Linked DNA regions of Saccharomyces cerevisiae S288C. The protein of the gene in region 2 interacts with the protein of the main gene of each other region in a biochemical or structural test. Each region holds a gene or a part of one and is shown on either strand. Other genes may lie near its edges.

Evidence for each region.
Region 1: the proteins of TIF4631 (region 2) and TIF1 form a complex in vitro, tested with the Saccharomyces cerevisiae proteins (6 studies listed by BioGRID, with this or other methods).
Region 3: the proteins of TIF4631 (region 2) and DED1 form a complex in vitro, tested with the Saccharomyces cerevisiae proteins (4 studies listed by BioGRID).
Region 4: the proteins of TIF4631 (region 2) and TIF5 form a complex in vitro, tested with the Saccharomyces cerevisiae proteins (2 studies listed by BioGRID).

What each region holds. Positions count from the first base shown.
Region 1 is NC_001143.9:553,432-561,049, reverse strand, and holds TIF1 (translation initiation factor eIF4A), read right to left. Parts: upstream 6,064-7,618; coding exon 4,876-6,063; downstream 1-4,875. Other genes in the region: rRNA-processing protein LAS1, read left to right, coding at 1-261; transcription factor TFIIE subunit TFA2, read right to left, coding at 398-1,384; mannosyltransferase KTR2, read right to left, coding at 2,096-3,373; UTP30 (Utp30p), read right to left, coding at 3,708-4,532; glycogenin glucosyltransferase GLG1, read right to left, coding at 6,430-7,618.
Region 2 is NC_001139.9:817,853-827,417, forward strand, and holds TIF4631 (translation initiation factor eIF4G), read left to right. Parts: upstream 1-6,206; coding exon 6,207-9,065; downstream 9,066-9,565. Other genes in the region: YGR161C-C (gag protein), read right to left, coding at 3,841-5,163. UniProt on the Saccharomyces cerevisiae protein: Component of the eIF4F complex, which interacts with the mRNA cap structure and serves as an initial point of assembly for the translation apparatus.
Region 3 is NC_001147.6:721,373-729,600, forward strand, and holds DED1 (DEAD-box ATP-dependent RNA helicase DED1), read left to right. Parts: upstream 1-1,538; coding exon 1,539-3,353; downstream 3,354-8,228. Other genes in the region: MRM1 (Mrm1p), read right to left, coding at 1-336; imidazoleglycerol-phosphate dehydratase HIS3, read left to right, coding at 574-1,236; GEP3 (Gep3p), read right to left, coding at 4,192-5,862; mRNA-binding ribosome synthesis protein NOC2, read left to right, coding at 6,140-8,228. UniProt on the Saccharomyces cerevisiae protein: ATP-binding RNA helicase involved in translation initiation. Remodels RNA in response to ADP and ATP concentrations by facilitating disruption, but also formation of RNA duplexes.
Region 4 is NC_001148.4:645,632-653,582, reverse strand, and holds TIF5 (translation initiation factor eIF5), read right to left. Parts: upstream 4,880-7,951; coding exon 3,662-4,879; downstream 1-3,661. Other genes in the region: PUF2 (Puf2p), read left to right, coding at 1-3,148; TIP41 (Tip41p), read right to left, coding at 5,208-6,278; IRC16 (Irc16p), read right to left, coding at 6,388-6,747; ERV2 (flavin-linked sulfhydryl oxidase), read left to right, coding at 6,545-7,135; SPO24 (Spo24p), read right to left, coding at 7,430-7,633. UniProt on the Saccharomyces cerevisiae protein: Catalyzes the hydrolysis of GTP bound to the 40S ribosomal initiation complex (40S.mRNA.Met-tRNA[F].eIF-2.GTP) with the subsequent joining of a 60S ribosomal subunit resulting in the release of eIF-2 and the guanine nucleotide.

The DNA.
Region 1 (7,618 bases), on a different chromosome or scaffold from region 2:
TTAAGGTTTAATGAAGGTGAAATAAAGCTGTATGATTTTATTCCTGCGGAAAAAGATTCCGTTCCATTGAAGAAGGAAGTGAGTCCGGCATTAAAGGCTGATACCAATGATATACTAGGCGATTTGGCGTCTTTGAAACAGAGAATGAGCAGTTTCGGAACAGTAGGTAAAAAAAATAAACAAGAGGAGAACAGAGCTACACCAGTAAAAAATTGGTCAAGGGTTCAAAATTGGAAACCCAAACCCTTTGGTGTCCTGTAACCTGTTTCCAATGCTCGTTATAAATACGTTGTAGACTATAAAGCTGAGTTGTATGCTGCACCCTAACGTGCATGTATATATAATCACAGTCTCTTTAACCTAATATGCAAACGAAAATGATTTAATCAAAACAACCTCATACTCTATGGGAATAATCTTTCAAGATACCGGTCATATGAGTGTTAGTAATCTTACCCTTTCTTTGTCTCTTCTTTTTAACTTCAACTCTCTTTGTTTGTCTTTTGATAGTAGCAGGATCGACACTAGCAGGCTTTAGACCTAAATCTTGCAGCTTTCTTGGCAATTCTGCAAATTGCGGTAATTGCACATTTTCCCACATTTTAACAAACTCCTCGTCAATACATTTCAAGTTACCACCGCTGTTATACCAAACGTATCTTGGAGTTTTATCCTTTTTAGTTCTTAACACCAAAATTTTGCTGTCTTCCTCCAGTTGGTTAATCGTTTCATCGCATTGTGGCCAACCGTCTTTCAAGTCTTTGCAGGAAATACCTTTGAATGTTACTTGTGAACGTAACAACTTCAGCAGTTCCGAAGGGGAATGGACATCGTAGGTGGAAAGGTATTTGAAAGTCCCCTTCTTGGGGTCAAACTCTATTCTATCTAATTTTTTTAAAAGCTCAATAACCTTGTCATCTTTTTTCATTGACAAGTAGTCCAATAACTCATTCACCAAAACGGGCTTACCTTTCTTTTGAATGTATTCAGTCGCCCAAAGCAACTTTGAAGAATCGTGACTCTTGGAAATATCTGTTTGATTTGCTTGTAAAGCGGCTGCAGCAATAGAGCCAGGCCTTACTTTTTTTGAAGGAGAGCTACCAAAATCTTCGTCGTCATCGTCGTCATCTAATGAAATAGCATTAGAGCTATTGCTCCCAGCTTCTTTCTTGATATCCACTAACACAGGATTTTTCGCAGAGTTCAAAGTGTTTTCTTGCGCACGTTCGGAGGCCGTCCTCTTCCTAGTGTTTCCATCTATAGTAATCACTGTGTCATTGGTCTTCTTCTGTCCAACTTTAGCGGGTGCGATCACCGGGGCAGACTTCACTTTGCTTTTGAAAGCGTTCAAATTAGCCAGTAGAGGGTCCCTGTTTTTACTCATCGCAAAAGACTACTCTCTTTTCCAAATCGAACGAACTACTTGGTATAAAACAGTTCTGTGTAACAGCTTTCTCGTGTTCTACAGAGCACACGGTTATGTAACTAGTTCACTTCTTATTAGCTCTTTTGCCCTGATTCGTAAGTGAACTTCTTACCCGAAGTAAGCTCGCGCTTTTCTTTTTCTTCTCGCATATAACATTTTGACTATAAAAGCCGTGAACTATAGCATTTGCTACCAGAAAGAATTTTTCTTGCCCTGGACCTTTGATGCTTTAAAAAACATTTCTCTTAAAAGAAAGCATAACAATTTGTGATGCTTTAGGGAGCCTATTGTTTGATGGTTTATAGGAGCCGGATTTGTCTTTTTGACTAATTTTCAACCTATTCTTACTTCCAAAACTGTTGCAATGGCTCTCGTTTTTTTTAAATTTTTCTCTTTTCTCTTCTTTGGCATAGTTTATTTTTAATAAATTATTTCAGGGTGAGATAGAGAAAGGATAATGAGTATCGTAGATAAATCTTCGGTTCCGAATAGTGTAACTGTTGGTGCTGAGGTAATCCATCTTTAAAACCATCGCCGTTAGAGGTTGCTTCTGATATTTTCGGTTAAGCGACCCATGAAATGGTGATGACCTGAGGTATGGAACATCTTTCTTGATGGTTACTTTGTTATATATACGTATTTATAGTATGCGGATACACGCTTTTCTCGCTATGAATCGTGTTTGAGGAAGTATTTACCGCTGCCGTCCTTCCACCATCTTCTCAGGCAGCTGATGACATTGAGATCAATATTGTCTGGGTGATTGCTATCACAAAGACATCTTTGTTGAAGTCTCAGGTAGTATGCAGATGGACACGTGCCAAAAGGCATATGCTTATAGCCTAATTCATCAAAATGGATGATTTCGTCTTTTTTCAAAAGAAGTGAGGCAGCAATCGAATGAACTGGTGCATCTCCCCACCTTTCATAGTAAAAACCGCCCTTTGAATCCAAGTACTCGAAAAATCTAATGTATTTCTCACTTCTGAAAAAGTTCAAATCGCCAATTTCAAAATTTGTCCAAAAATGACATAAATTATAGCCGCTGTTACTATCGATGACACCAAAAGATTTACCGATGAAGTCGAAATTTGATACGAACCCGAAAGCGTTGCTTTCCATGTCAATATCTGCTGACTCTGTTTCTTCGAGATATTCTTCTACAGCTTCCCATAGGCTCGGAATTGTATCTTCGTATTCATACATAGTTATCACAAAGCCATATTTCTTATTGTTCTGCCTCATCACCTTGAATGGATCGTAGGGAAAATCGCAAAAATACTCTACATCTGGCTCAACTCTGAAATAAAAATCGTACGGATCTAATATCTTTTGTCTAAAGAAAAATCCAGAATTAAATCGGCACATATTTCTATATGACTTTGACCCACCGTACAAGATATTTTTTTCCTCCATTAATTGTAAAGCCTCTTCAAATAGAGTTTCGTTGATCCAAGATGGCCTGTTCCAGTCCTCCGCAGGGATTAAAGCGTATTGCGTTCTACCACTAGCCATGGCTGTGGTGGCTTCGATGAACTCTTGATCAAATGGGACATCATTAAGAAATGTCCAGTCATACTGGTAGTTTTTATTGAAACGGTCTTCTAGTGATCTCATGGAACGGAGTGCCCCCGAAAGTTCCCAATTACGCACAAGCATTAACAATGTAGCATTTTCTCTTTGATTTTTTATTCCCTTGGTCTTGTTTAGTGGTTCATCATTATAAGTGTTGCTAGATAGCTTCAGCGTCTGATTCATATGTCGCCTCCTTGTAAAATCATATCTCGATGAAACTTCTCGAGATCTTCTAAAAAAATACGAATCTAGGCTCAGCTGTCTCTGATATGGTACAAGTGCAAGCCAACATGTTTGAGCTATCAAGCAAAATAGAAGACTAACAAAAAGTAGTTTTTTAACCTGTGTAAGAAATACCTTGCAGATTTGCATGAAGCTCCTACGCTTTTAAATAAACAACTATTGTATAGAAAAAACGCAAAAAAAGCGTTGCATGTATAGGTGTCACATACCTGAAGAGATATAAAGAATCAAGAATATCATCAGACAGGCAAATGGTGGCTTATTATGTTTATTCTATTTTTATAGGGTGTCTGTTCTTTTTTTTTTCTTTTTTTTTTTCGCTTACTAAATTTCTATAATCTTGCAAATTCTTGAAAGGAATTAAAGTTTAAAACACTTTATTAATGCTATAATTAGTTAGACAAAATCACGCTTTTTCATTGGGAGTGTTTAAATACCGTATTTAAAAGATGATGCTTTAATTTTACAATTTAATATCACTCAGATCTTCATTTTTCTGATTTTCTCTAGCCTCTGAAAACTGATATATAGGCAAACTAGTACTGTTACTGGTCTTGACAAATATAGATATTATTCCTCCTTTAATGACGCCGCCTTGCGGTCTCTTACTTTTATCAGTGAGAAAGTTTATTGTATCTTGGATGTTTTGCAAAATTTCTGGTATGGAGTGTTTTTGAATATAACCGACCCTGACGCTTAAGCAGTTGTCATTATTGGGAATGTATGAGGTATTCTTACATATACTTCTCAATTGTGCTCTCACGTAAATGGGGTCACATTTTTCGACCATTTGTTGACGCTTCAATTTTACTTCTTTCGACATGCGGATCATGTATGGCAATTTTTTACTACCGTGATAAAATCTGCTACCAAGAACCTCCGGAAGTAAGTGGTGAACTCTGTAATCGGCAACGACCAAGTCAAAATCTTTATAAAGTTGGGTCAGTTTACTCCCTTTGAATCTACGTCTCAAGTTCTTGACACTTATAATTTCCTTGAATAATTCCGACGTATGCTCGTCTTTCGTCAAAGTTTCTCTATACAAGGCAGAGGGATCCTTGGTAATGAGTAATATGTTTAGGTCCCTTGGTTTAAATAGCTTGTACTTTGTTAATGGAATAATACGGGGGATGTTGTCCCTGTTTATGCCCATTTTTTTGCCCGTGTTGATGATTATGTGTATGTCCTTATCATTTTTTAAAGATGGGTTCTCTTCACATTGTAAAATTAGAGCCTTTAGTGCTTTCTCTGCCAGCCCACTTTTTATAATATCATTTGACTCAACCATCCCAAACCTCGAGATATAGCGTTTGATGTACACTTTTTCTTTTCAGCTCCAATCTCTATTAGTAGGGCATCGATTTTTTTTTTTTTCCTTTTATATATATTATTTTTTATAAATTTGAAAAATTTCAGATAGATACGTTCGGATATATACAAAAAGACAAAGCAAACAATTAGTATAGGGTATTTCAACCTTCGTGCCGAGAGTCTTTTGGACTTTGAAGAATAATAGGAATGTAAAAAGAAAAACAAATTAAATACAAAAAGCATATATAACTTTTTAGAAATATATGTTACGTTATCAAGATAGCCTCACAAGATACTTTTTTAAGAAGTTTTTGTCTCCCTTAGTTCAACAAAGTAGCGATGTCGGATGGCAATTCTTCAATTTGAGTGGAGTAGAACTTTTCTAGTTCTCTCATAGCGCCAACGTCTTCGTTAGTAACAAAGTTGATGGCAACACCCTTTCTACCGAAACGACCACCTCTACCGATTCTGTGAATATAGTTTTCTTTGTTAGCTGGTAAGTCGTAGTTAATAACCAAAGAAACTTGTTGGACATCGATACCTCTAGCCAACAAATCAGTGGAGATCAAAATTCTGGAAGAACCACTTCTGAATTCCTTCATGATGGTGTCTCTTTCTTGTTGTGGTAAATCAGAGTAGATGGCAGAAACGGTAAATTTGTCGTTTCTTAACTTAGTGGTCAATTCTTCGACCTTTCTTCTGGTGTTACAGAAGATGACAGCTTGAGTAACGGAGATAGAGTCGTATAAATCGGTCAAACACTCGTATTTGTATTCTTCTTCTTCAACATTAACGTAGAATTGTTTGATACCTTCCAAAGTCAATTCATCCTTCTTAACCAAAATTCTAACTGGGTTTCTCATAAATTTGGTGGTAACTTCCAAGACGTCATTTGGCATGGTGGCGGACAATAGAACAACTTGAGTGGTTGGTGGAAGTAAGGTGAAAATTTGGTAGATTTGTTCCTTGAAACCAGAAGACAACATTTCATCAGCTTCATCTAAGATGAACATCTTGATCTTGTCAGTTCTGAATCTACGTCTTTGGATGTTGTCAAAAACACGACCTGGAGTACCAACGACGATTTGAGCATCTCTCAAACCTTCAGCGTCTTCAACAAAGGAAGTACCACCGATACAAGCGTGGACCTTGATGTCCATGTGGAAAGCCAAAGCCATGACAACCTTTTGGATTTGCAAAGCCAATTCTCTAGTTGGAGCCAACATCAAAGCTTGAGGAGCCTTGACAGAGGTGTCAATTCTTTGCAAAGCAGCAATGGAAAAGGTACCGGTCTTACCAGTACCAGATTGAGCTTGAGCCAAGACATCGTGACCTTCAATAATAGGCATGATGGCACGTTGTTGAATGGCAGATGGTTCTTCGAAACCGTAACCGAAAACACCTCTTAACAAGTTTTCGTCCAATTCCATATCATCGAACTTGTAGACAACCTTGTCATAGTTGGTTTGAATTTGGGATTCTTCAATATCAGTAATACCTTCAGACATCTTGTATATAATTAGAAGGAGGCCGTTTAACGAATTTGTTATAAAATAAGAAAAGAAAAGACTAGAGACCAAATAAAAAATCTACAAATGTCAGGGCTGCGTATATTCATACCTTTGTTCTGTGATGTTAGCTCAAGTTCTTAGCACATCATTCAATAGACGAGGTGAGAATGCAAAAATTTTTCAGTCACTATAAACGTTGTGAGGTGAGAAAAGATAAACAGCAAGCATCGGATGTTGTTGCTGATAAACCTTTAAAGTAAATTTCGAGTTTGAATGTATATAGAATAGTTATGCATTTTTGTATAGTCGAAAAGGTCTTTACATAGATATGTCTTTTAATTTTCCTAATATGTGCGTGGAAGTTTACTCTACTGCATACTCAAAAATATCATCAGGGAAACACCTCTCTACTTTGGATAGATAATCAGAGTCCTCCCAGTCAAATTTGAAGTTGGGCATTTCTTGTTGCGGTTGGTTGGTTTCCTCTGCTGTAAGTTTCATATCCTCCTGTTTATCTGCAACTGCACTCGTCTTCGTTTCTCCTTCGGTAGCATCTCTTGCATCGTCATCAAAAAATTCTTCTTCGTTATCGATTGCATTTGACTCGTACACGTCCGGAAGAAATTCTTCATAACCTTCCTTGTCTTTTTCTAAGTACTGTATATTGTCATCAACAGAGGTATGTGGTTCTACGTCGTCTGGTAAGTCATTAGTAGAAACACTTGGTTTTTGTATATTGTCAGTTGACCTTTTCTGTTCTGGATTTGAAGGGCTAGATTCGACACTGATATTATTTTCTTTAGAATTGCTAAAATTTTTGCCATCTGGTTGATTACTTACATTGTTATTGGAAGAAGCGGCCGTGCTTATATCATCGAGGTGGCTTTCTTCTCCAGAATTTGAAGCGTTATCTGTCGTACTATCCTCCTCTTCTGCATTTTGGTGCTCATCGCTATCAGCTTGAGTACTCACAACGCTATAAGAGCTGTTTAGTTCCTGAGTACTATTTGGAGGACTTTCTTGGTCGCGGTTTGAACTGCTATTGATTATATTGTTATCATTCTCTTTCGAATATTCTCTGCTTTCATTTACTGGCTGATTAGTCAAGTGATCTTTGTTAATAAAGGTTGTTAACCACTTGGTAAAATCCAATGGGACAGGGTTAGGAGCAGGGCTATGATCCGAGTTAGGAACAGGCTCGGCGTTCTGGTTGTCCACGTTTTCTTCCACTGTACTAATTGTGTCGATCTCTTGATTCGTAGTGGGTTCGTTCGATGGAGGGGCATCCACTGGGGTTATCGTTTCAGGAGTCTCAGTTTTATCGGAATCACTAATCTTTGGCTTCGAAACTTCGTTATTTAATTGATGTTCTTCCTTAAATTCCTCGTATACCTCATTCCATTGATCATGATACTCGTTTTTAATGAAATTCTTTTGGGACCACAATGACCATGGCTTGTGTTTCCCAATGAAATGAATCAACTTAATGCTAGGTTTAAAGTAATTCATAGCAGGTGAAGATTGGTAGCCTAAATTAGGAATAGTTACGTTA
Region 2 (9,565 bases):
TGATTTCCTGATACTTCATCTCTCAGTCTCATTGCTTTAGTACCAAAAAATCTGTTTCTAAATTTCTCTTCATTATTGGATATAATTATACTGATTGTAGATTTACTGTCGGTTAGTAATCCTTTGGTAATTGGTTTCTTGTCGAGTTCTTGTATCAGGTAACTTAGATTATTTAATAATGGGACAGATTCACTTATTGCGTGTATTTCTGCTTCCGTAGTTGAAGTACATGTTAATGAAGCCTTGGTGGACTTTCCTCCAATTACTTTTCCATTAAGTAAATATATGTTGCCAATTTGTGATTTATAATACGGTTGGTTACCATACGAGGCATCGCTTATAACAACTAATTTATTTGTTGGCTTAACAGGTTTGCTTTTGTGCCATATTAATTGCTTATCTCTCGTATTCCATATGAACTGTATCAATTCATATGTCATATCTAACACTTGCTTGGACGGAAATAGTATATGTTGTGCAAGTGTGTTGATGTAGTATAATAGGTCAAATCTAAATTTATATCCAACATATGATGCTAGACCTATCAGCTTTTGCATTTCATGTACCTTCATTTTGTAATCATCTTCTTCTAGCTCTAGTTCTTGCTGGTTTATATAGAGACCTGGTTGGCCTGGGGCACCAAGTTTTCTTCCGTTTGGATTCAAAGGTACGTTTAATTTGGGTATTTTCTCAGTTAATGAGTTTTCCATACCTAATTTCATGTATTTACCTCTTTGATATTTGATTTCTAAGCCAAGGATGTCGTATTGAATTTCATCATCGCTTTCACCTAGATTTATAATCTTGGTATCGTATTGCATCTTGAGTTTTGCTATAATTCTTTTATTCGAATTTAAGTCCTTGCTGAACAATATCATATCATCAACGAATAAGCAAATTGTTACTTGACTATTCTTAAATACGCATGACCATCCACGAACTTCTTCCATACCACACTGTTTTATCAGGTATGATTTGATAGTTTCGTACCAGTTCGCTCCACTTTGTTTCAATCCATAAAGTGATTTCTTCAAACGTATCAACTTATCATTCATTCCTAAATGTGGTGGAGGTCTTATGTATAATTCTTCTTTGATGTCTGCATACAAATATGCCGAAGATATGTCTAATTGTGTAATATAGTAGTTATTGTCTAATGCAAGTGACAGGGATGTCATTAATGCATAGTGATGTACGGTATTGGATTGCATGCCTGAGTCGTAAGTGTCAGGATGCTGAATATCACCTCTTGCAACAAATCTAGCTTTATGAGTACCGTCACGTTTCCTGTTGAAGATAAACATTGAATTTATTACTCTTTTAGGGTCTATTTCTTTTCTGTCATAATATTTGTCAGTGTCCCAAGTATTCATTTTCAATAGTTGGTTGACTTCTTTGTGGTATGCTTCGATATATTTTTCCTTTTCTTTAATATCTTTATTATAGGTGATTGCCTCATCGTATCTTAAGGTTGTCCGTATTGGTTTGATTGATTTTACTGCTTTTACAGCTGCAATCAGGTGAATTCGTTTCTTCGATCTCGGAGGTTCTAAACTACGCATATTCTTAGTATTCCATGTGTCTCGTGATACCTTAATTTCAGTTTCATTATCTTCTAATGATCTTTTCTTACTGTTGATAGTAGTATAGGCATTAGAGTCACCAATACCACCCAAACTGGAATTAGTTTGACGAGAATTGATCGGTGGAAGTTCTTTAAAGGAGTCTGATAATTCGGTAGGAGGTTCTGGAGGCAGATCGGGAAGTGGAAGATCAGCAATTATAGATTCCTCTGTATTCTCCTTAGGACAGGTATCTGACGTTTTGATAGGAACGACGTGGTGTAGTGAATTACTTTCTGATGAGGAAGTATCGATCGAAGGTGAACGGTGTATAATCCTTTTCTCAGTCTCCTGTTCGCTTGTCTGCGGAACAGTTTTATTATTGGTACCACCCGTACTGGATATTGGTACGTTTGTATGATTAGTCTCATTGTCACTGTACGAGTCTGAGTGTCTGAAATCTTTAGATTTACTGGCGTACGACGACTCATGTGTGTTAGATTGGGACATGGGAGCAAGTAAAGGAACATTTAATTTATGCATACCACCCGAACCGGTACTCTCGATATTGGAAATTTGGGGGGTGCTAGATCTCTTCTTTGATGGAAGAATATTAGATTCAGATATGTTGGGGTCAACTTCTCTGGGTGCGCGAATATTGGTTTTAGAAACACGTTTCGAATCTTCAGTATGAGTTGACGGAGGTGTGGAATCGGTTGGACTCACAGCTTTTGAAAGGACATTTCTCGGTTGCTCAGGATGTAGTTCAATGTCGGATTGGAAGTCATGGTCAGATTCTATGTTAAGATCATTGGATTCTTGGATCTCATTTGACGCAATGAACGAATGATATGAAGCAGTTAAACGGTTTAAGTCTTCATCGAAAGTGAGTGCGTCGTAATTGAATTGATCTAATCTGGATTCCTTGCCCTGAAGAATAACATAGTTAGTTGTATCTACTGTCTTCTTTAAGGATGGAAGATAGATGATATATCCATAAGAGTTTCGAGACGGATGTAGAGCGTAGCCTGGGATGCCACGAGGATGTATTTTGGAGTTAGGGTTGTGATCATTGACGATAACAGGTTGACCGAAAGGTAACAAAGTACTGATATCAAGTCCTGCCAAGCCAGCATGTTGTCTTGCAGATTTTTTGCTTTTAGGTGAAGCTAGTGAATTTCTCACAATAGTAGAAAATTCGATTGCAGAGAACCATAAATGGTTCGGTAAACCACTACATTGCAGTTGAGTACGGCAGTCATCTAATAAGGTACGGTTCAGCCGTTCAGCGACTCCATGTGCTCGGGAATCCGCTGTGGTTGTATAGCATGGAGTTATACCATTTTTTTCAAGGAATTTATGGAGAGTTCTGTTAGTATACTCAGAACCACGGTCCATTTGTATAACTAAGACACTGGCCTGAAACTGGTTTTTAATAAAAGCTAGTATCGTAGTAAAAACATCGAGGATAGAGTCCTCGCGACGGTCGTGTAATGGATAAACCCAACGGAATTTTGTTGTCTCATCAGTAAATGAGATGAAATAGGATGGTGCACTTTTTGGTAGGTTGTGAACTGGACCAAATATGTCAGTATGTAGGTATTGAAAGGGTTCGTATGAATTTTGGTATTTTAGTCGTGAACCTTTGATATGTCTGTGTTTGGTGCTTTTGCCGATTAAACAATCAGGACATTGATAGTCAATAGCACTAGACCAGTCGACATCTGATTCGTTAAAATACGTGATGGTGTTATTTTTAAGTGAGTATCGAATTGTCTGTGCATTGGCATGCGCAAGCATTCGATGAATGAAAGGATAAGGATATTTGCGTGTACTTTCACTTGTATGGACATTATTGATGGTGGGTACGGAGATATTTGATGGAAGCAAGTACTTTTTAGATACCCAGTAAAAGTCTCCATATTTCACGATAGGTGCAAGTACAGTGCCGTCAGACCGTTCTAAGACGTTTTTGGTAAAGCATGCTGTGATATCTACTGCAGCCAATTCATTCAAACTGAGTAAGTCATAGGCTATGTTAGGAGTGTGCAATACCTTTATTGATGTTTTGGTGTTGTCCTGGAAGTGAAATTGTAGGTCACCAATAGCGTTAATTGGTATATTTCTTTTTTGAGCATCAACTACGTTTATGTCAGGATTAGATGATGCTGAGTGTATGTGATGAGCAGATCTTATAAGGGTTCGTGATGCTCCTGAATCGAGAAGGAGGTGTCCAGGGAGTTCATCATCAGAATGATTAGTATGATTTACTGTAGATTCAGTAAGTTTCTGGCCTAAGATGAAGGTCGTGCTTATTGTTCAATTGAATCGGTTCAGTAGTTGATTTACTGATGGAATCGTTGTCCGTGCTGGGAGAGTTATTAGATGTGGATACATTGTGAGCCCTGGCTGTTTTCGATTTCGAATTATTTGTTTTTTGAGGATTCCGAGCTATAACTTTGGGTTTGGTTGTATTCGTATAGCTGCGAGAATCATTCTTCTCATCACTCGGATTTCTCCTGTAATTAGGTTTGCTGTTTCTCGATCCCTGTTGTTCTTCATAAATAGCATGGATATCTAAGAACAGTTCAGCGACTGTCATATTTAGATGTCGATGACGTGTGTAGCGTAAAAATTTATATTCGCCAGATAGACCTCTCATAATTAATTGGCATGCGACCTTGTTATTGATATGAATGCCATTATTGTTCAGTCTGTCGATAATGTTTGTGACTTTTGTTTCAAATGCATCTGCAGGTGTACTGCCATTATATTGCAAATTTGCCAGGGTCACAATGTCGTTTGCCTCTTGGGTATCAGATTGCATTTTTTCAATACTTTTGGAAAGAATTTTCATGATATCCGTATAATCAACGGATAGGATGTCTTTGACCCAGGTAGGTAGGAATTGAGAGGGAGCAAATATTTGAAAAGTGTTATACAAGAAGGTGAGTTCATCATCAGTGATCTGACGTACGGGTTTTCCGTTTACTGTCGGAATAATACCACCGAGATTCGAGTTTTGTAAAAATTTGATGTATGTTTTAACCCAATTTGGAAAGTCATTAGGTGAGGTTAACATTGGTGGTGGTCTGACATATTTTTTAGTGGATGTCATATCAGAGTCCGCTGAGGATGAATCAGTAAATGTATTACCTGACTCAGGTGATGGAGTGCTCAGAGGCGTTCCAACTGATGATGGATACTGCGGAAACTGTGATTGTGGCCCAGGTGGAAAGTACATAGGCGACATTTGATAAGGTGTATACGGAATCATAGATGGGTGTCCGTAAAATGACCAACCAGATGGATTGGCTTGGTTTTGGGTCATCATGCACTGCTGTGGGTACGGCCCATTCTGTGGAGGTGGTACTGAAGCAGGTTGAGGAGAGGCATGATGGGGGTTCTCTGGAACAGCTGATGAAGCAGGTGTTGTTGTCTGTTGAGAGTTAGCCTTAGTGGAAGCCTTATCATATTCTTGAATTTTGGAAGCTGAAACGTCTAACGGATCTTGATTTGTGTGGACTTCCTTAGAAGTAACCGAAGCACAGGCGCTACCATGAGATATATGTGGGTAATTAGATAATTGTTGGGATTCCATTGTTGATAAAGGCTATAATATTAGGTATACAGAATATACTAGAAGTTCTCCTCGAGGATATAGGAATCCTCAAAATGGAATCTATATTTCTACATACTAATATTACGATTATTCCTCATTCCGTTTTATATGTTTCATTATCCTATTACATTATCAATCCTTGCACTTCAGCTTCCTCTAACTTCGATGACAGCTTCTCATAACTTATGTCATCATCTTAACACCGTATATGATAATATATTGATAATATAACTATTAGTTGATAGACGATAGTGGATTTTTATTCCAACAAAATCCACATTCTCTTCATATATACATATATTGGTTGTTGTTACTACTTTAGCTTTTTTCCTCTGTTCGTTTCAAGATCTAGCTTGCAATTATCCCTCTAGGTAATAACCAGCATAGTTGTCGTCGTTTCATGTGACCTATTCCCCTTTAATTGGATCAATCTTCCAATAAGAGTGGTTTCGTGGTCTAGTCGGTTATGGCATCTGCTTAACACGCAGAACGTCCCCAGTTCGATCCTGGGCGAAATCATTTTTTGAAGATTACATTAATAAGGCTTTTTTCAATATCTCTGGAACAACAGTTTTTTTTTACTTACTAATAGCTTTAAGGACCCTCTTGGACATCATGATGGCAGACTTCCATCGTAATGGGATGATCATATGATGGGCGCTATCCTCATCGCGACTCGATAACGACGTGAGAAACGATTTTTTTTTTCTTTTTCACCGTATTTTTGTGCGTCCTTTTTCAATTATAGCTTTTTTTTTATTTTTTTTTTTTCTCGTACTGTTTCACTGACAAAAGTTTTTTTTTCAAGAAAAATTTTCGATGCCGCGTTCTCTGTGTGCAACGGATGGATGGTAGATGGAATTTCAATATGTTGCTTGAAATTTTACCAATCTTGATATTGTGATAATTTACTTAATTATGATTCTTCCTCTTCCCTTCAATTTCTTAAAGCTTCTTACTTTACTCCTTCTTGCTCATAAATAAGCAAGGTAAGAGGACAACTGTAATTACCTATTACAATAATGACAGACGAAACTGCTCACCCGACACAATCTGCTTCAAAGCAGGAATCTGCTGCTCTGAAACAGACAGGCGATGACCAGCAGGAATCTCAGCAACAACGTGGCTACACCAACTACAACAATGGTAGCAACTATACCCAAAAGAAGCCTTACAACAGCAACAGACCTCATCAGCAAAGAGGTGGTAAATTTGGACCAAACAGATATAACAACCGTGGCAACTATAATGGTGGCGGTAGTTTCAGAGGTGGACACATGGGAGCCAACAGCTCAAACGTGCCATGGACTGGTTACTATAATAACTACCCCGTTTACTACCAGCCCCAGCAAATGGCGGCCGCTGGTAGTGCCCCTGCTAATCCAATTCCTGTCGAAGAGAAGTCACCTGTTCCAACTAAGATAGAAATCACTACCAAGTCTGGTGAACACTTAGATTTGAAAGAACAGCATAAAGCCAAGCTACAGTCTCAGGAAAGATCTACTGTGTCTCCGCAACCAGAGTCAAAGTTAAAAGAAACTTCTGATTCTACTTCTACTTCTACTCCAACTCCTACCCCTTCCACTAATGACTCTAAGGCCAGTTCTGAAGAAAATATATCTGAAGCTGAAAAGACAAGAAGAAATTTCATCGAGCAAGTTAAACTTCGTAAAGCTGCTTTAGAAAAGAAGAGAAAGGAGCAACTTGAAGGTTCTAGTGGCAACAATAATATTCCAATGAAGACTACCCCAGAAAATGTGGAAGAGAAGGGATCGGACAAACCTGAGGTAACCGAAAAAACCAAGCCTGCTGAAGAAAAATCTGCTGAGCCAGAAGTTAAGCAAGAAACTCCAGCTGAAGAAGGTGAACAAGGAGAAAAGGGCCAAATAAAGGAAGAATCCACTCCAAAGGTGTTAACCTTTGCTGAACGTTTGAAGTTGAAGAAACAACAAAAAGAACGAGAAGAAAAAACGGAGGGGAAGGAAAACAAGGAAGTGCCAGTACAGGAAGAGACTAAGAGCGCCATCGAGTCTGCTCCTGTGCCTCCCAGTGAACAGGTTAAAGAAGAAACTGAGGTCGCCGAAACCGAACAGTCAAACATTGATGAATCTGCAACAACTCCGGCTATCCCTACTAAATCTGATGAAGCTGAAGCTGAAGTTGAGGCTGAAGCAGGTGATGCTGGAACAAAGATTGGACTTGAAGCTGAAATCGAAACTACAACTGATGAAACTGATGATGGTACAAACACCGTTTCTCACATATTGAATGTATTGAAAGATGCTACACCAATTGAAGATGTCTTTTCTTTTAACTATCCAGAAGGTATTGAAGGTCCTGATATCAAATACAAGAAAGAACACGTCAAATATACATATGGCCCAACTTTCTTGCTTCAATTTAAGGACAAACTAAACGTCAAAGCGGACGCCGAATGGGTCCAAAGCACTGCTTCTAAAATTGTCATTCCACCAGGAATGGGCAGAGGAAATAGATCTAGAGATTCTGGCAGATTCGGCAATAATTCTAGTCGTGGCCATGACTTTAGAAATACCTCAGTGAGAAATATGGATGACAGAGCTAATTCAAGAACTTCATCAAAGAGAAGATCAAAGAGAATGAATGACGACAGGAGATCTAATAGATCTTATACATCAAGAAGAGACCGCGAGAGAGGCTCCTACAGAAATGAAGAGAAAAGAGAGGACGATAAACCAAAGGAAGAAGTTGCTCCACTTGTTCCAAGTGCTAATAGGTGGGTGCCAAAATTCAAGTCTAAAAAGACTGAAAAGAAGCTAGCCCCTGACGGAAAGACCGAACTATTGGACAAGGATGAAGTTGAAAGAAAGATGAAGTCACTACTGAATAAACTTACTTTGGAAATGTTCGATGCTATTTCATCTGAAATTTTGGCTATTGCAAACATATCAGTATGGGAAACAAATGGTGAAACGTTAAAGGCTGTGATAGAACAGATTTTCTTAAAGGCCTGTGACGAACCCCATTGGTCTTCTATGTACGCGCAATTATGTGGTAAAGTAGTTAAAGAATTAAACCCAGATATAACAGATGAAACTAATGAAGGTAAGACAGGTCCAAAATTGGTTTTGCATTACTTGGTTGCTAGATGTCATGCCGAATTTGACAAGGGTTGGACCGATAAATTACCCACAAACGAAGATGGTACTCCATTAGAACCTGAGATGATGTCAGAAGAGTACTATGCAGCTGCTTCTGCTAAGAGAAGAGGTTTAGGTTTGGTTCGTTTCATCGGTTTCCTATACCGTCTGAATCTGTTGACTGGAAAGATGATGTTCGAATGTTTCCGTAGACTAATGAAGGATTTGACGGATTCTCCATCTGAAGAAACTCTAGAGTCCGTTGTTGAATTGTTAAATACTGTTGGTGAACAATTTGAGACCGATAGTTTCAGAACGGGTCAAGCAACATTGGAGGGTTCGCAATTGCTCGATAGTTTGTTCGGTATTTTAGACAATATTATTCAAACTGCTAAGATTTCTAGTAGAATCAAGTTCAAGTTGATCGACATTAAAGAATTAAGGCACGACAAGAACTGGAACAGTGATAAGAAGGACAACGGTCCTAAGACCATTCAACAGATTCATGAGGAAGAGGAGAGACAACGTCAATTGAAGAATAATTCAAGATCTAATTCAAGACGTACGAACAACTCCAGTAATAGACACTCTTTCAGAAGGGACGCTCCTCCTGCATCAAAAGATAGCTTTATCACAACCAGAACATATTCTCAAAGAAATAGCCAAAGGGCTCCTCCTCCAAAGGAAGAACCAGCTGCACCAACTTCTACCGCAACAAATATGTTCAGTGCATTAATGGGAGAAAGTGATGACGAAGAGTAACATGAATAGATCATGTTAAGTATCGAAAATGTCACTTGGATACAAGGATGTTGGTAGAAAGTCTAATAAAATAATAAATTAATAGTACAACACAAATTTAATCTTACGTTTAATCCTGCGCTATTAATTGAAAATATATGCATGGAGAAGAAAAAAAAAGTGTCCCTAATTTACCATTGTTATATTTTCTCGATTAATGGGCTCATTTCTTTTCACTAAAAGCTATAAACAAGTTTGATGCATTTTAATGGGTAATCCTCTTACTGTGCTTTTTTTTCCTATCTTGTTCTATATGTCAATGCCTTTCTGTATTTTTATTTATAGCTTCGCCAGTCTTCGTTTACGATATGTTTTATATAATAGACCACTCAGCATATGTATAGTTTTGTATATTTATATCATTTATTAGCTGACGGCTTTAACTTCATATTTCGATTTAATCATGCTACTGCTTCACCATTTGTCCTTTTTTTTACAGAGGCCACGAAAGGAAAGGACCG
Region 3 (8,228 bases), on a different chromosome or scaffold from region 2:
AATGTCCTTATTCTGGAACTTGGATTTATGGCTCTTTTGGTTTAATTTCGCCTGATTCTTGATCTCCTTTAGCTTCTCGACGTGGGCCTTTTTCTTGCCATATGGATCCGCTGCACGGTCCTGTTCCCTAGCATGTACGTGAGCGTATTTCCTTTTAAACCACGACGCTTTGTCTTCATTCAACGTTTCCCATTGTTTTTTTCTACTATTGCTTTGCTGTGGGAAAAACTTATCGAAAGATGACGACTTTTTCTTAATTCTCGTTTTAAGAGCTTGGTGAGCGCTAGGAGTCACTGCCAGGTATCGTTTGAACACGGCATTAGTCAGGGAAGTCATAACACAGTCCTTTCCCGCAATTTTCTTTTTCTATTACTCTTGGCCTCCTCTAGTACACTCTATATTTTTTTATGCCTCGGTAATGATTTTCATTTTTTTTTTTCCACCTAGCGGATGACTCTTTTTTTTTCTTAGCGATTGGCATTATCACATAATGAATTATACATTATATAAAGTAATGTGATTTCTTCGAAGAATATACTAAAAAATGAGCAGGCAAGATAAACGAAGGCAAAGATGACAGAGCAGAAAGCCCTAGTAAAGCGTATTACAAATGAAACCAAGATTCAGATTGCGATCTCTTTAAAGGGTGGTCCCCTAGCGATAGAGCACTCGATCTTCCCAGAAAAAGAGGCAGAAGCAGTAGCAGAACAGGCCACACAATCGCAAGTGATTAACGTCCACACAGGTATAGGGTTTCTGGACCATATGATACATGCTCTGGCCAAGCATTCCGGCTGGTCGCTAATCGTTGAGTGCATTGGTGACTTACACATAGACGACCATCACACCACTGAAGACTGCGGGATTGCTCTCGGTCAAGCTTTTAAAGAGGCCCTAGGGGCCGTGCGTGGAGTAAAAAGGTTTGGATCAGGATTTGCGCCTTTGGATGAGGCACTTTCCAGAGCGGTGGTAGATCTTTCGAACAGGCCGTACGCAGTTGTCGAACTTGGTTTGCAAAGGGAGAAAGTAGGAGATCTCTCTTGCGAGATGATCCCGCATTTTCTTGAAAGCTTTGCAGAGGCTAGCAGAATTACCCTCCACGTTGATTGTCTGCGAGGCAAGAATGATCATCACCGTAGTGAGAGTGCGTTCAAGGCTCTTGCGGTTGCCATAAGAGAAGCCACCTCGCCCAATGGTACCAACGATGTTCCCTCCACCAAAGGTGTTCTTATGTAGTGACACCGATTATTTAAAGCTGCAGCATACGATATATATACATGTGTATATATGTATACCTATGAATGTCAGTAAGTATGTATACGAACAGTATGATACTGAAGATGACAAGGTAATGCATCATTCTATACGTGTCATTCTGAACGAGGCGCGCTTTCCTTTTTTCTTTTTGCTTTTTCTTTTTTTTTCTCTTGAACTCGAGAAAAAAAATATAAAAGAGATGGAGGAACGGGAAAAAGTTAGTTGTGGTGATAGGTGGCAAGTGGTATTCCGTAAGAACAACAAGAAAAGCATTTCATATTATGGCTGAACTGAGCGAACAAGTGCAAAATTTAAGCATCAACGACAACAACGAGAATGGTTATGTTCCTCCTCACTTAAGAGGAAAACCAAGAAGTGCCAGAAATAACAGTAGCAACTACAATAACAACAACGGCGGCTACAACGGTGGCCGTGGCGGTGGCAGCTTCTTTAGCAACAACCGTCGTGGTGGTTACGGCAACGGTGGTTTCTTCGGTGGAAACAACGGTGGCAGCAGATCTAACGGCCGTTCTGGTGGTAGATGGATCGATGGCAAACATGTCCCAGCTCCAAGAAACGAAAAGGCCGAGATCGCCATATTTGGTGTCCCCGAGGATCCAAATTTCCAATCTTCTGGTATTAACTTCGATAACTACGATGATATTCCAGTGGACGCCTCTGGTAAGGATGTTCCTGAACCAATCACAGAATTTACCTCACCTCCATTGGACGGATTGTTATTGGAAAACATCAAATTGGCCCGTTTCACCAAGCCAACACCTGTGCAAAAATACTCCGTCCCTATCGTTGCCAACGGCAGAGATTTGATGGCCTGTGCGCAGACCGGTTCTGGTAAGACTGGTGGGTTTTTATTCCCAGTGTTGTCCGAATCATTTAAGACTGGACCATCTCCTCAACCAGAGTCTCAAGGCTCCTTTTACCAAAGAAAGGCCTACCCAACTGCTGTCATTATGGCTCCAACTAGAGAGTTGGCCACCCAAATTTTCGATGAAGCCAAGAAATTTACTTATAGATCCTGGGTCAAGGCCTGCGTCGTCTACGGTGGTTCTCCAATTGGTAACCAACTAAGAGAAATTGAACGTGGTTGCGATCTTTTAGTCGCTACTCCAGGTCGTTTGAATGACTTGTTGGAACGTGGTAAAATTTCTTTGGCCAACGTCAAGTATTTGGTTCTAGATGAAGCTGATAGAATGTTGGATATGGGTTTCGAACCTCAAATTAGACATATTGTCGAAGACTGTGATATGACTCCTGTTGGTGAAAGACAAACTCTGATGTTCTCAGCTACTTTTCCCGCTGATATCCAACATTTGGCCCGTGATTTCTTAAGTGACTACATCTTTTTGTCTGTTGGTAGAGTCGGTTCTACTTCAGAAAACATTACTCAAAAAGTCTTATACGTTGAAAATCAAGATAAGAAGTCAGCCTTATTGGATCTATTGTCTGCATCCACTGACGGTTTGACTTTGATCTTTGTCGAAACTAAGAGAATGGCAGATCAATTGACCGATTTCCTGATCATGCAAAACTTTAGAGCTACCGCCATTCATGGTGACCGTACCCAATCTGAGAGAGAACGTGCCTTGGCCGCCTTCAGATCTGGTGCCGCTACTTTATTGGTTGCCACAGCTGTCGCAGCTAGAGGTCTAGATATTCCAAACGTCACCCACGTTATCAACTACGATTTACCAAGTGATGTCGATGATTACGTCCATAGAATTGGTAGAACTGGTCGTGCCGGTAACACCGGTCTTGCCACTGCCTTTTTCAACAGTGAAAACAGTAACATTGTTAAAGGTTTGCATGAAATTTTGACTGAAGCTAACCAAGAAGTCCCATCATTCTTGAAGGACGCTATGATGAGTGCTCCAGGTAGCAGAAGCAACAGCCGTAGAGGCGGTTTCGGTCGCAACAACAACAGAGATTACCGTAAGGCCGGAGGCGCTAGCGCAGGCGGCTGGGGCTCTTCAAGAAGCAGAGATAACTCTTTCAGAGGCGGTAGTGGCTGGGGTAGCGATTCCAAGTCTTCTGGCTGGGGTAACAGCGGTGGTTCAAACAACTCTTCTTGGTGGTGATTTCAGACAAACTAGGGTGAGGATTCTTCGTTTTCTGCTCTAGCATGTCTTATATTTTCTTTCTCCAATCACTTTTTTTATCCAAGTCCTGAAAATACTGTGTTGTTTGTTTCTCTCTAGCCGTTGATTGGCCCCATATTTTTTTTATTTTCTCACTGGGAGCCACTAATCTGTTACTTTTTTTCCACTCTTATTTTTTATCCATCGTTTTTTTGTTTTTTTTTTCTTTCATGGTTCTAATATTATTTTACAATTGTACTATAAAATGCCTTTGCTAATATTAACTAAAAAACTAAAGATTTCACTATGATTATAAGCAATTAAGATTTTCATCTTTTAGTGAAAAGATGAAGGAATTATTATCTACTTTTACTATATTTTCCACTATTTTTGCTTAATTGCTTTAACCGATCTATTCATTGGACTGATTATTTACATTATCTTTTATTTCCACTTCCACTTTTTCAGTTTTCTTCGAATAGAGACTTTATTTTGAACAGTTTTTTCGACCTTTTTTGTTTGTTATTGTTTCTTTTTACCTTACGAAAATATTCTTACTGTTCACAGTACCATTGTATAATAGTATTCATTTCCTTCCTACATTTTCTCTCCCTTTTTTGAGTTGAGGCCTTTTTATTGACTCGCCTTATACTCTACTTTATTTGTGTTTTGTAGATAGAATAAACATCAACAGTATAATTCATAATACTTTCTATTGCTTATTTCCTGTATATTCGTTTTTGAATATACTTTGTTCCCAACTTTCTTTTTAGTTTACTTACATTCATATTTACATGTGCGTTACTACTTATTGGTGCAACCAAGTGAACAGCGAGTCTTACCATTGGTAGTACCAATAGGGATTCTTTTTTTTTTCTAGGTGTTGAACCAAATCATAAGGATCATCGTCGACAAATCTTCTAGCAGATAAATCTTTCTCGGTTTTTTCTAAATACGACTTCTTCACTGCGTTCAAAGTATCAGCTTCATCCGGGGCCATCTCATACAGGGAACTGATGATCGGTCTATCTCTGGGACAGCTTGACTCTTTACCATTTGTTTCAATGTAACGCTGGTAGCCAGACTCAATCAAGTTTTCTAGCGGTTCCCTTATACCTACTTGGATACCCCTAGGTATCCATATCTCATGTAGTCCTTTGAACTCATACCTCCCAGTTGTCCTTAATAAAATATATCCTATATCTTTCAGAACGATCTCTATACTTCCAATAAATGGAGGTATTGCGTACCTTTTGTACTGGCTTTTTTCGCATATAACGCTTTTAATTCCACAATACCGTGATAACGGATGTGTGCCAGATGATGAATTGCACGAGTTGAATACATCAATACCTTTTTCAATGTTCTTGAATGTTTTTGATGGTCCTGGTATGTATTTCACAATCTGATTTATGGATCCTTTCGGAGGTACCAGGTAGAAAATCCCTCCCACGGTATAACAGCCTCCCTGTGATGTGCCCTTCATAGACTCATAAGTCTTCTGTTTTATATGCTTCCGATTGAATAAATCGGTTTTTCGCAGCCTTTGAAGCCAACGCTCGTCGATTAGTTCTTCTAGGCGTAATCTGGAGGTGGAAGTTGAATAGCCTGGAAGATCAAAAAGTATTTTACCTCCAACTTGGTAGGCTTGTACGGATCTAGTTAAATTGGGAATATGTGATACACCAGCAGCTTGAATCTTGAAAAAATTCTTCGGGTTCGTAAAAGCTTCTTGCATCACTTCTTCAGAGGGGGAGTTAATTTTCCCAGTAGAATCAATTTTAACCTTATATCCAAGATATTTCTGTAGTAGAGTATTGATCAAAGTTGATTTACCAACATTAGGGTTGCCTAGCAAATATGTGTAGTTTTTAAAGTAGTTGTAAAACATGGATATGTTCCAGTTTTTCAGCGCAGATATGGCGAATGTTTTATTTGAGTCAATTCTTAAAGTGTTCTTTAAAAATTGCTTCATGAATATAGGAACCTTTTTGCTGACAGCATTTTTATCTTTAAAAACTTGATCGCTTTTCGTTAACACTAATGTAGTATCTAAATCATTTCGTTTCAAAACATTGGGGTCTAAATGTAAGGGAAATTCTACAAAGGGGACAATATGCATAACATTTGAGCCTCTGGGGACGTAGTTCAGAATATCATTTAATGTGCTTTCGGGAAACTCTTCCGGGTTATAATTGTTATGATGAAGGGCATTACTGCACCTTTTGCAAATCACTCTCAATAGTAAATCTCTTTTGGTTTTGAGGTCAGGATCATTTTGAGTTGCCTGTTTCGAGAGCTGTATGTCTTGACTGAATAGCAAATACTTCAGATCTTGGAGGTCAGGATTTAGTTTTGAGTCGGGTAGACTTTTTGGCTTCGTATAATATCCTGGTTTACTAGGATCCTGATCCTGTAGTTTTATGGAACATGACGCACATTTCACTTTCACAATCACAGAACAGGAAAACTGACGTACGCCTCGAAGAGCATGACACAGATTCAACATTCCCGCATATTGAATTGTTCAAAGTAATTAGACGTGTTACTAGGAAGGTCCTTCGTTAATATTGCTCTGTTAAATGTATCTTGACCCATAACATCAAATAGTAGTTATCATCTTCGACGAGTTTTGAAAAATTTTCTGAATTTTTTCTTCCGATGAGATGAGCATGATATTTACAGAGAAAATAGAGAAACAGAATACTTGTACATGGGTAAATTCATTTATACTAATTTTTGAATTGTAAGAGAGATAGAGAAGGTCAACAATAGAATAAGTGGAGATGGGTAAAGTTTCTAAATCGACCAAGAAGTTTCAATCGAAGCATTTGAAGCATACTCTAGACCAAAGAAGAAAGGAAAAGATCCAAAAGAAGAGAATCCAAGGCCGTCGTGGCAACAAAACTGATCAGGAAAAGGCCGATGCTGCTGGTACTAGGGAACAACAGCAGTTGAAAAAATCTGCAAAGGAAGAGGTTTTTAAGGACATGTCTGTCGAAACTTTTTTTGAAAAGGGCATCGAAATTCCAAAAGAGAATAAAAAATTGAAGAAAAAAACTACGAAAGAGCAATCTGATGAAGATTCCTCCTCTTCCGAAGAGGAGGAAGACATGGGACAAAGCATGGCAAAGTTGGCCGAAAAGGATCCCGAATTTTATAAGTATTTGGAGGAAAATGATAAAGATTTATTGGACTTCGCAGGTACCAATCCATTGGATGGAATTGATAGTCAAGATGAAGGTGAAGATGCTGAAAGAAACAGTAATATTGAAGAAAAATCTGAACAAATGGAGCTGGAAAAGGAAAAAATTGAGCTTTCTTTGAAATTGGTTAGGAAATGGAAAAAACAACTTCATGATTCTCCAAGCTTAAAATTACTAAGGAACATAATCAGTGCTTTCAAGGTTGCTGTAAATTTGAACAAGGAAGAAAACATCGAAGACTATAAATATGCTATCACTGATGAGAAAGCATTCCACGAATTGATGTTCATGGTCTTGAAAGATGTACCACAAGCGATTCAAAAGATGGCCCCATACAAGATTGTAAAAGGCGCAAGGACCTTACCAAATGGAGGTAACGTCTCCAGGGTCTCGTCCATTGTCAAGTCGCATGCTGGCTCTTTGTTGATTTTATTGAATGATATTACTAATACGGAAACAGCAGCATTAGTTCTTCATTCTGTCAACGAATTGATGCCTTATCTTTTATCATACAGAAGGATCTTAAAGGAGCTTATTAAATCAATTGTTGGAGTATGGTCTACAACGAGAGAATTAGAAACCCAGATTGCTTCTTTTGCCTTTTTGATCAATACCACCAAAGAGTTCAAGAAGTCTATGCTAGAAACAACCTTAAAAACAACGTACTCCACTTTTATCAAAAGTTGTCGTAAAACGAATATGCGTTCTATGCCACTGATTAATTTTCAAAAAAATTCGGCAGCTGAATTGTTCGGTATCGATGAAGTTCTAGGTTACCAAGTTGGATTTGAGTATATTAGGCAATTGGCAATTCATTTAAGAAATACAATGAACGCGACAACTAAAAAATCCAGTAAAATTAATTCCGCAGAAGCTTACAAGATTGTATACAACTGGCAATTCTGTCACTCCTTGGATTTCTGGTCTCGTGTACTATCGTTTGCTTGTCAACCAGAAAAGGAAAATGGCAGTGAATCTCCTTTACGACAATTAATTTACCCATTGGTTCAGGTTACTTTGGGTGTAATCAGATTAATCCCAACACCACAATTCTTCCCATTAAGATTTTATTTGATTAAATCACTTATTAGACTTTCTCAAAATAGTGGTGTTTTTATTCCAATATATCCTTTACTTTCTGAAATTTTAACCTCAACGGCTTTCACTAAGGCACCCAAAAAGAGCCCTAACTTGGCTGCTTTCGATTTTGAGCACAACATCAAATGTACGCAAGCTTATCTGAATACAAAAATATACCAAGAGGGTTTGTCAGAACAGTTTGTGGACTTATTGGGCGATTATTTTGCTCTGTACTGTAAAAACATTGCATTTCCTGAACTTGTAACACCGGTTATTATCTCTTTACGCCGTTACATCAAGACTTCAACTAATGTCAAACTTAACAAACGTTTATCAACTGTTGTAGAAAAATTGAACCAAAACAGCACATTCATCCAAGAAAAGAGATCAGATGTTGAATTTGGGCCAACAAACAAATCTGAAGTTTCAAGATTTTTGAATGATGTAGCTTGGAATAAAACACCTTTAGGTTCTTATGTTGCAGTACAACGTGAAGTTAAGGAAGAAAAGGCCAGATTAATGAGAGAAAGTATGGAAGAACAAGACAAAGAAAGAGAAACAGAAGAAGCAAAATTATTAAACAGTCTGG
Region 4 (7,951 bases), on a different chromosome or scaffold from region 2:
TGAAGAGGATATTAGAAATGATACACGCATGAATACAAATGCTCGTTCTGTGAGAGTCTCTGACAAGAGAGGTCGTTCTAGCTCCACTTCCCCACAGAAAATTGGCTCCTATCGTACTCGTGCGGGCAGGTTTTCAGATACTCTAACCAATCTACTCCCTTCGATTAGCGCTAAGCTACACCATTCAAAGAAGAGTACCCCTGTAGTTGTTGTGCCTCCTACGAGCAGTACTCCAGACAGTTTAAATTCCACGACATACGCTCCCAGAGTGTCTAGCGATTCTTTTACGGTGGCTACTCCGCTGTCATTACAGTCTACTACGACCAGAACAAGAACAAGAAATAACACAGTATCTTCTCAGATCACTGCAAGTTCTTCTTTGACTACTGATGTGGGCAATGCCACGAGTGCAAATATTTGGAGTGCTAATGCAGAAAGTAATACTTCTTCCAGTCCTTTGTTTGATTATCCTCTCGCCACTTCTTATTTTGAGCCATTGACTAGATTCAAGTCCACTGATAATTATACGCTGCCTCAAACAGCTCAACTAAACAGTTTTCTGGAGAAAAATGGGAATCCAAACATATGGTCGAGTGCAGGAAATAGTAACACTGACCACCTTAATACTCCGATAGTTAACAGGCAGCGCTCTCAATCTCAATCTACCACAAACAGGGTTTATACTGACGCGCCCTACTATCAACAGCCTGCACAGAATTACCAGGTTCAAGTGCCTCCTAGAGTTCCAAAAAGTACTTCAATATCCCCTGTTATCCTTGATGACGTCGATCCAGCCTCGATAAATTGGATTACAGCAAACCAAAAAGTACCACTAGTCAATCAAATATCGGCGCTTTTGCCCACTAACACAATATCTATTTCAAACGTGTTTCCATTACAGCCTACTCAACAACATCAACAGAACGCTGTAAATTTGACGAGTACTTCCTTAGCGACTTTATGTTCACAGTATGGTAAAGTGCTTTCTGCGAGGACACTAAGAGGCCTGAATATGGCATTAGTAGAGTTTTCCACAGTTGAAAGTGCAATATGTGCTTTGGAAGCTCTACAAGGTAAGGAACTGTCTAAAGTAGGGGCACCAAGTACGGTATCTTTTGCGCGAGTCTTACCCATGTATGAACAACCTCTTAACGTTAATGGCTTCAACAACACTCCCAAGCAACCGCTGTTGCAAGAACAGTTGAATCACGGGGTGCTCAATTATCAGCTGCAACAATCGCTACAACAGCCGGAGCTACAACAACAACCAACTTCATTTAATCAACCAAATCTTACATATTGTAATCCCACTCAGAATTTGAGCCATCTGCAATTATCTTCAAACGAAAATGAACCTTACCCTTTCCCGTTGCCTCCACCATCATTATCGGATAGTAAAAAGGATATATTACACACTATAAGTTCTTTTAAGTTAGAATATGATCATCTAGAGTTGAATCATCTCTTGCAGAATGCCTTGAAAAATAAAGGAGTGTCTGATACAAATTATTTTGGTCCCCTGCCTGAGCACAACTCCAAAGTTCCAAAGAGAAAGGATACGTTCGATGCACCAAAATTGCGGGAACTGAGAAAGCAGTTTGACTCGAACTCATTATCTACTATTGAAATGGAGCAATTGGCAATCGTCATGCTGGACCAATTACCAGAATTAAGTTCAGACTATTTGGGTAATACCGTTATTCAAAAATTGTTTGAAAACTCGTCAAATATCATCAGGGATATTATGTTGAGGAAGTGTAATAAATATCTCACATCTATGGGTGTTCACAAAAACGGTACTTGGGTTTGTCAGAAGATCATCAAAATGGCAAACACGCCAAGGCAGATAAATCTTGTAACTTCAGGTGTAAGCGATTACTGTACTCCACTCTTCAACGACCAGTTTGGAAATTATGTTATTCAAGGTATTTTAAAGTTTGGTTTTCCCTGGAATAGTTTCATTTTTGAAAGCGTTTTATCTCATTTTTGGACAATAGTTCAAAACAGGTATGGATCTCGTGCTGTAAGGGCTTGTCTAGAAGCAGATTCCATTATTACCCAATGCCAATTGCTGACTATCACTTCACTGATAATTGTGCTTTCTCCTTATCTAGCTACGGATACGAATGGCACTTTACTGATCACTTGGCTATTGGATACTTGCACTTTACCTAACAAGAACTTGATTTTATGTGATAAACTGGTAAATAAAAATCTGGTTAAACTATGTTGTCATAAATTAGGCTCTCTTACTGTCTTAAAGATTCTCAATTTAAGAGGTGGTGAAGAAGAGGCACTGTCGAAGAATAAAATTATCCATGCAATATTTGATGGTCCAATTTCTAGTGATTCTATCTTGTTCCAGATACTAGATGAGGGTAATTATGGTCCAACATTTATTTATAAGGTTTTAACCTCGAGAATTCTTGACAATAGCGTTAGAGATGAAGCTATAACAAAGATTCGTCAACTGATTTTAAATTCCAATATCAATTTACAAAGTCGCCAGTTACTGGAGGAAGTTGGGCTATCATCAGCAGGAATATCACCCAAACAATCCTCCAAGAATCATCGTAAACAGCATCCTCAGGGGTTTCATTCTCCTGGTCGCGCCAGAGGCGTTTCTGTTTCCAGTGTGAGAAGTTCAAATTCAAGGCATAATAGCGTTATACAAATGAACAATGCAGGTCCAACGCCAGCATTGAACTTTAACCCAGCCCCGATGAGTGAAATAAATTCCTACTTCAACAATCAACAAGTGGTGTACTCCGGAAATCAAAATCAAAATCAGAACGGTAATTCTAACGGATTAGATGAATTGAATTCACAATTTGATTCATTTAGAATTGCTAATGGAACAAATTTATCCCTACCTATAGTTAACTTACCAAATGTAAGTAATAATAATAACAATTATAATAATTCTGGTTATTCGAGTCAAATGAATCCTCTAAGCCGCTCAGTGAGTCATAATAACAATAATAATACCAATAACTACAACAATAATGATAATGATAACAATAATAATAACAATAACAATAATAATAATAATAATAATAATAATAATAATAATAATAATAGTAATAATAGTAATAATAATAATAATAATGATACAAGTTTGTACCGCTACAGGTCATACGGATATTAGCTAATGATTTTAATCATTCTGTTCTATTAAACTTTTTTTTTTTTCAATTTTGCCCTTGGTGCAATGTTTTTACGTTTACCCCAGAAGAATACCAAAAAGTTTAGACGCTCTTAGGTAAACATGACGATTAATGACCCTTTTTTTTTCCTCTATTGTACAAGTTTTCAACAGGCTTTAGGCTCTACTTCTATTAATGATTATAATATAATGCATTACCTTTCAGAAAAATCTTCGGTAATCTCATGTTATGTATACGCATGCGATCGTGGAGCCAAATTACACCGACATTTTATTTTTTTTTTTTTACTTAATAATTAATCAATCAATCAGTGGCTTTAAAAGTCTCATCTTTGTTTTTTGCCAGTACCAAGTATGTCGCACTTGGAAGAAATATTATATTTATAAATATTTACATATCTATACATCAACGAGCTCAAAAACAACAGAACATAATCCTTATCTTACGCCATGTCATATAATAATTTACACATAAGTCTTTTGCCCCCTCCTAAGCTATTCGTCGTCTTCTTCATCATCGTCACTTTCAGCGGTTTCTAACCACGTAATGAATGGCTTAGCAGCCCTACGAACCTTTTTGGATACCTCCTTAGGTACAAATTTCTTGGATGATTTGGTACCAAATCTCATGATTTCTTCTTCCGAGATGATATCATTATTGTATAGTTGTACCAAAATTTTTGGTAATAGTGGGATTAGATCCTTATGTTCTAAACCTAAAAATCTTTCAATACCACCCATAAAGTTCTTTTCGTATTCTGGAGTGACTAAAATTTTAGTGAAAAATGCATTATGTTCAGCGATTTCGTTTACGATATCCTCATCGAATAGACATTGCGCCAAGACACAACCAATTTTTGGATCATTCAAGACGTCTAGTTCTGCAGCCTTCTTATAAAGCTCCACATCTGATGGTAAGTTCTCCTTATCTTCACCAGCCTGCTCCAAAATCCATTCACCATATTCATCCAGTTGAGTGAGCTCAGAGTTCACTTCTAGTTCCTTGGCACGAGCTCTAATGGCTTCTTCAGACATATCAACCGCCCATTCGTCATCTTTGACCTCGATATCTTCTAAGGTAGAGGCAGCCGCCTTGATTTGACGAGATAATTCATCTTCGTCTTCGTCATGATGTTGTGGAGTGGATGAGCCGGTGCCATCTGAAGGTGCATTCTGAGACTTACCTTGAGCAATATCACTAATGGACAACCCACCACCACGAACATTGGCCGAAGCGGTAGCTGCTTTCTTCTTCTTCTTGGAACCAGAAACGGAGTCAGGTGGGTTTTTCAAAATGAAGGATGATAGTTTATGTCTCAAGTCCATTGGAGTTCTCTTACCACAGGCTTTACAGTCTCGAACCAAATCATTATCTTTGGTAATGATGATCTCCGTTTCTGGATTTTTACAGCTTCCACAGAGAACAAACTTGTTAATAAAGCCATCCAATACGTCTTGCAATTTGGCAGGTTCGTGAACACCATTAACTAAATAACGATCTTTGTCAACAGAGATGGAAGTTTGAGCACCTAATTCGAAACCAAAATACTTGACAATATATGGAGCAGGTCTATTTAGCGCGTGAGAGATGTCAGCGACGTTCAAAACGGCAGTCTTGATACCGTTACCTCTACCTTCCACCTTGGCTTGGATGGGAGGCATTTTGTAACGGTAAAATGGATCATGATTATCTCTACAAATATTAATAGACATCTTGTACCAGTGAACGTGTGTTTATGCAAATAATAGGAGTTTTTTTTTTTGGAAAAAAAAGAAGAACACACGAGATACTCTTTAATGTAGTGGTGTCTTTGTAAGTCAGCAAAGTGGGAAGGAGGGGTAGGCGTTTGCCACTAATTAAATGCTAAAAGTTCATCTATTTTCTTTTTTTTTTTTCGTTCATACTTCGCGATGAAAATTTTTCACTATTTACAGAACGGGTAAGAGCATGATTTTAAGATCATTTCTTGTATGATGTATCCGGAGCTTATGTATATGTGACGTGTATGTATTTGTACGTATTGTTTTGTATATTTGATTGTTAGAACTGAATTATTTCACATTGTCTTTTGATCATCGGCGTGTTCTGTGCTACCCAATTACTATCTCTCAAGGCAGCTTTTGGGTCGTGAGATTGGGATAGCCGGTGCTTAGCAAGTACATCCTGATATTTACCTTCAAATTCCTTGGATTCTCTGATCACTACGTTTTCGTCAAACTCCACGTAAATCCTGGTGTCGTAGACCCTCACCAGAACATCGTCCACCCTTAAAAAGAACCGGCTCAGCAGCAGTAACCTTTCGTTCATAACTCTTATTTTGACGTTAAGGATTGATATGCCATTGTCTGCCAATTCGTCTTCGAAAAGAATCATGTCGTCATAGAATAGGATTTTATCGTGTACGGCCAGTTTGTCAAGGGGCAGCTTTTGATCGTTATCCAGTCGGAATTTCGACTCAGGTGAGCTCTCTGTGCCCTTATACCGCGTAGTGTAGGTCCAGTCGTACTTGTGTATGATATTTAAGGAATCGTCGTTCACATCGTTAGTGAACCGTTGCGCACCATTAGTTGAATTTTGTCTTTTTTTAGAATTTATCCAGTCGTTTGAGTACGCAACACGAATACCTGAATCCTGGAGTTGAACCTCCTTTAAAGCATCCAGGGCATTGAACTCTATGGACCAATGCTGTTTTGAATTTTCGATCCTGATGTAGTTGTTACCAAAAATCATCTCTGGCAAAGTCAAACCTTTGAGTTTTTCGTTTTCCCAGATGTCTAATTCCTGCGAGTTCAAAATGGGCTTCTTTCTGGAGGAGATGGTCCAGTCGTTGATGGAGATGGAGGGGTTGTCCTCCAAGGGTAACGTGGCCCTTGGAGATGGAATGATAACAGACCCACAGTGGAGACACTGCGGATTGTTTGGGTTATTGCAAATATGTCGAGGTGGTGTTGCTGGGGCTGCAGTTGGTTGCACAGAGGGTGTAGTGATGCCGCTAGTTGGCATGGGCATTCTTCGAGCGCGCACCGTTTGAGCGTGCATTTCTCTAGCAGCATTTATTTGAATAGTGTTTATCCCTGATGATCTGAGCGGTGGAGTGTTTCTTTTGGACATTTTTTCTGGGGAGCTGTTGTGTCTAAAGCTGCCCTTAGGTCATGTATATGGGGTGCGTAAGTATGGTGATGCATTTTGTTATTATATATTACAAGATGGAAGAGAAAGGTTAACCACCGGGTAAACGAAGCGGGAAAAGGAACCAAAAATAAAGGACAAAAGGCTTTATCATTAAACAATAAACGTGGGTGATGAAGACAAGAAGACGGGAAGGCTGGTGATTTGTAAAGAGGAAAGTCTGGACAGATTGTGCAAGGAACGAAGGGATGAAACAGATAGTCAAAAGAAGCCATGCCATCAGAATAGTTGCAGCATTAGGAATCATAGGCCTGTGGATGTTTTTCTCGTCTAATGAACTATCCATCGCTACGCCGGGCCTAATCAAGGCGAAGTCTGGTATAGATGAAGTGCAAGGGGCGGCTGCTGAGAAGAACGACGCTCGGTTGAAAGAGATCGAGAAGCAAACCATTATGCCATTGATGGGCGATGACAAGGTGAAGAAGGAAGTGGGCAGGGCGTCGTGGAAGTACTTCCATACCCTGCTGGCCCGTTTTCCGGACGAGCCTACTCCTGAAGAAAGAGAGAAACTGCACACGTTTATTGGGTTGTATGCAGAACTCTATCCATGCGGGGAATGTTCATATCACTTTGTAAAGTTGATTGAGAAGTATCCCGTACAGACATCTAGCAGGACGGCTGCCGCAATGTGGGGATGCCACATTCACAACAAGGTGAACGAATACCTAAAGAAAGACATATATGACTGTGCTACCATCCTGGAGGACTACGATTGTGGATGTAGTGACAGCGACGGTAAACGCGTGTCTCTCGAGAAGGAGGCTAAACAGCACGGTTGAACAAAGAAAGATTACATTAATCAATTATAGTAATAGTAAATTTTTTATTATTTTATATTTTAAATTTTTTTACTTTCTCAGTATTTATATTACATAAATATGTATATATCAAAAAGTTTCTGTCGTAGAAGAGACCCGATCCGAGGTTATTGAATGTAAGTGCGGGAAAGTGCAGATAGAATGACAATGAATGCTCCGGAAAAAAAAAAAAAAGTACGTGACTTACTTGCCCAAGTAAGTAAAGATGCCAAGTGTCTTTTATGCTAATAGTGTGCTAATTCTCGTGTACAACACTTACAACAGAGACAAAGAGTTTTTTCTGGAGTGTGAGCGGCTTGAAGCAGAGGCATCCAAAAGAGCGGCATTGGCAATAGCCAGATTCAGGTCATCGACGTTTGCGTCAGAGTTCTTTCTTGAGCTTGGCTGAGAGACTGGCGAAAGAGATGGGATGACAAAAGGTTGAGAAACGTCAGAAGTTAGTTCTAAAAAGGCGACCATTGTTGAAATTTTTGTTTTTTGTGTTATTTGTGTGAGTTGTCAGTAAAGCTGTTTTGTAGTTGCTTGTTTGATGATGATTTTTTATATTTTACAAGGACTAGAGGAAACAATTGTGAGAGTTGAGCTATTGGAGAAATCTAGAGACCTTATATATGTGTCTGTTCTTCATGCTAATTGAGCCCCCTCTAAAGTTCTCTTACGTTATAGAGCGTCATGACAACGATTGATCACGCAGATGACTAACCGCCAGTCACAGCGCATATTAGCGCGCAAATGAAAAGAATGACCGACCCGCCGCGGAATCGATCTCGGATTTGC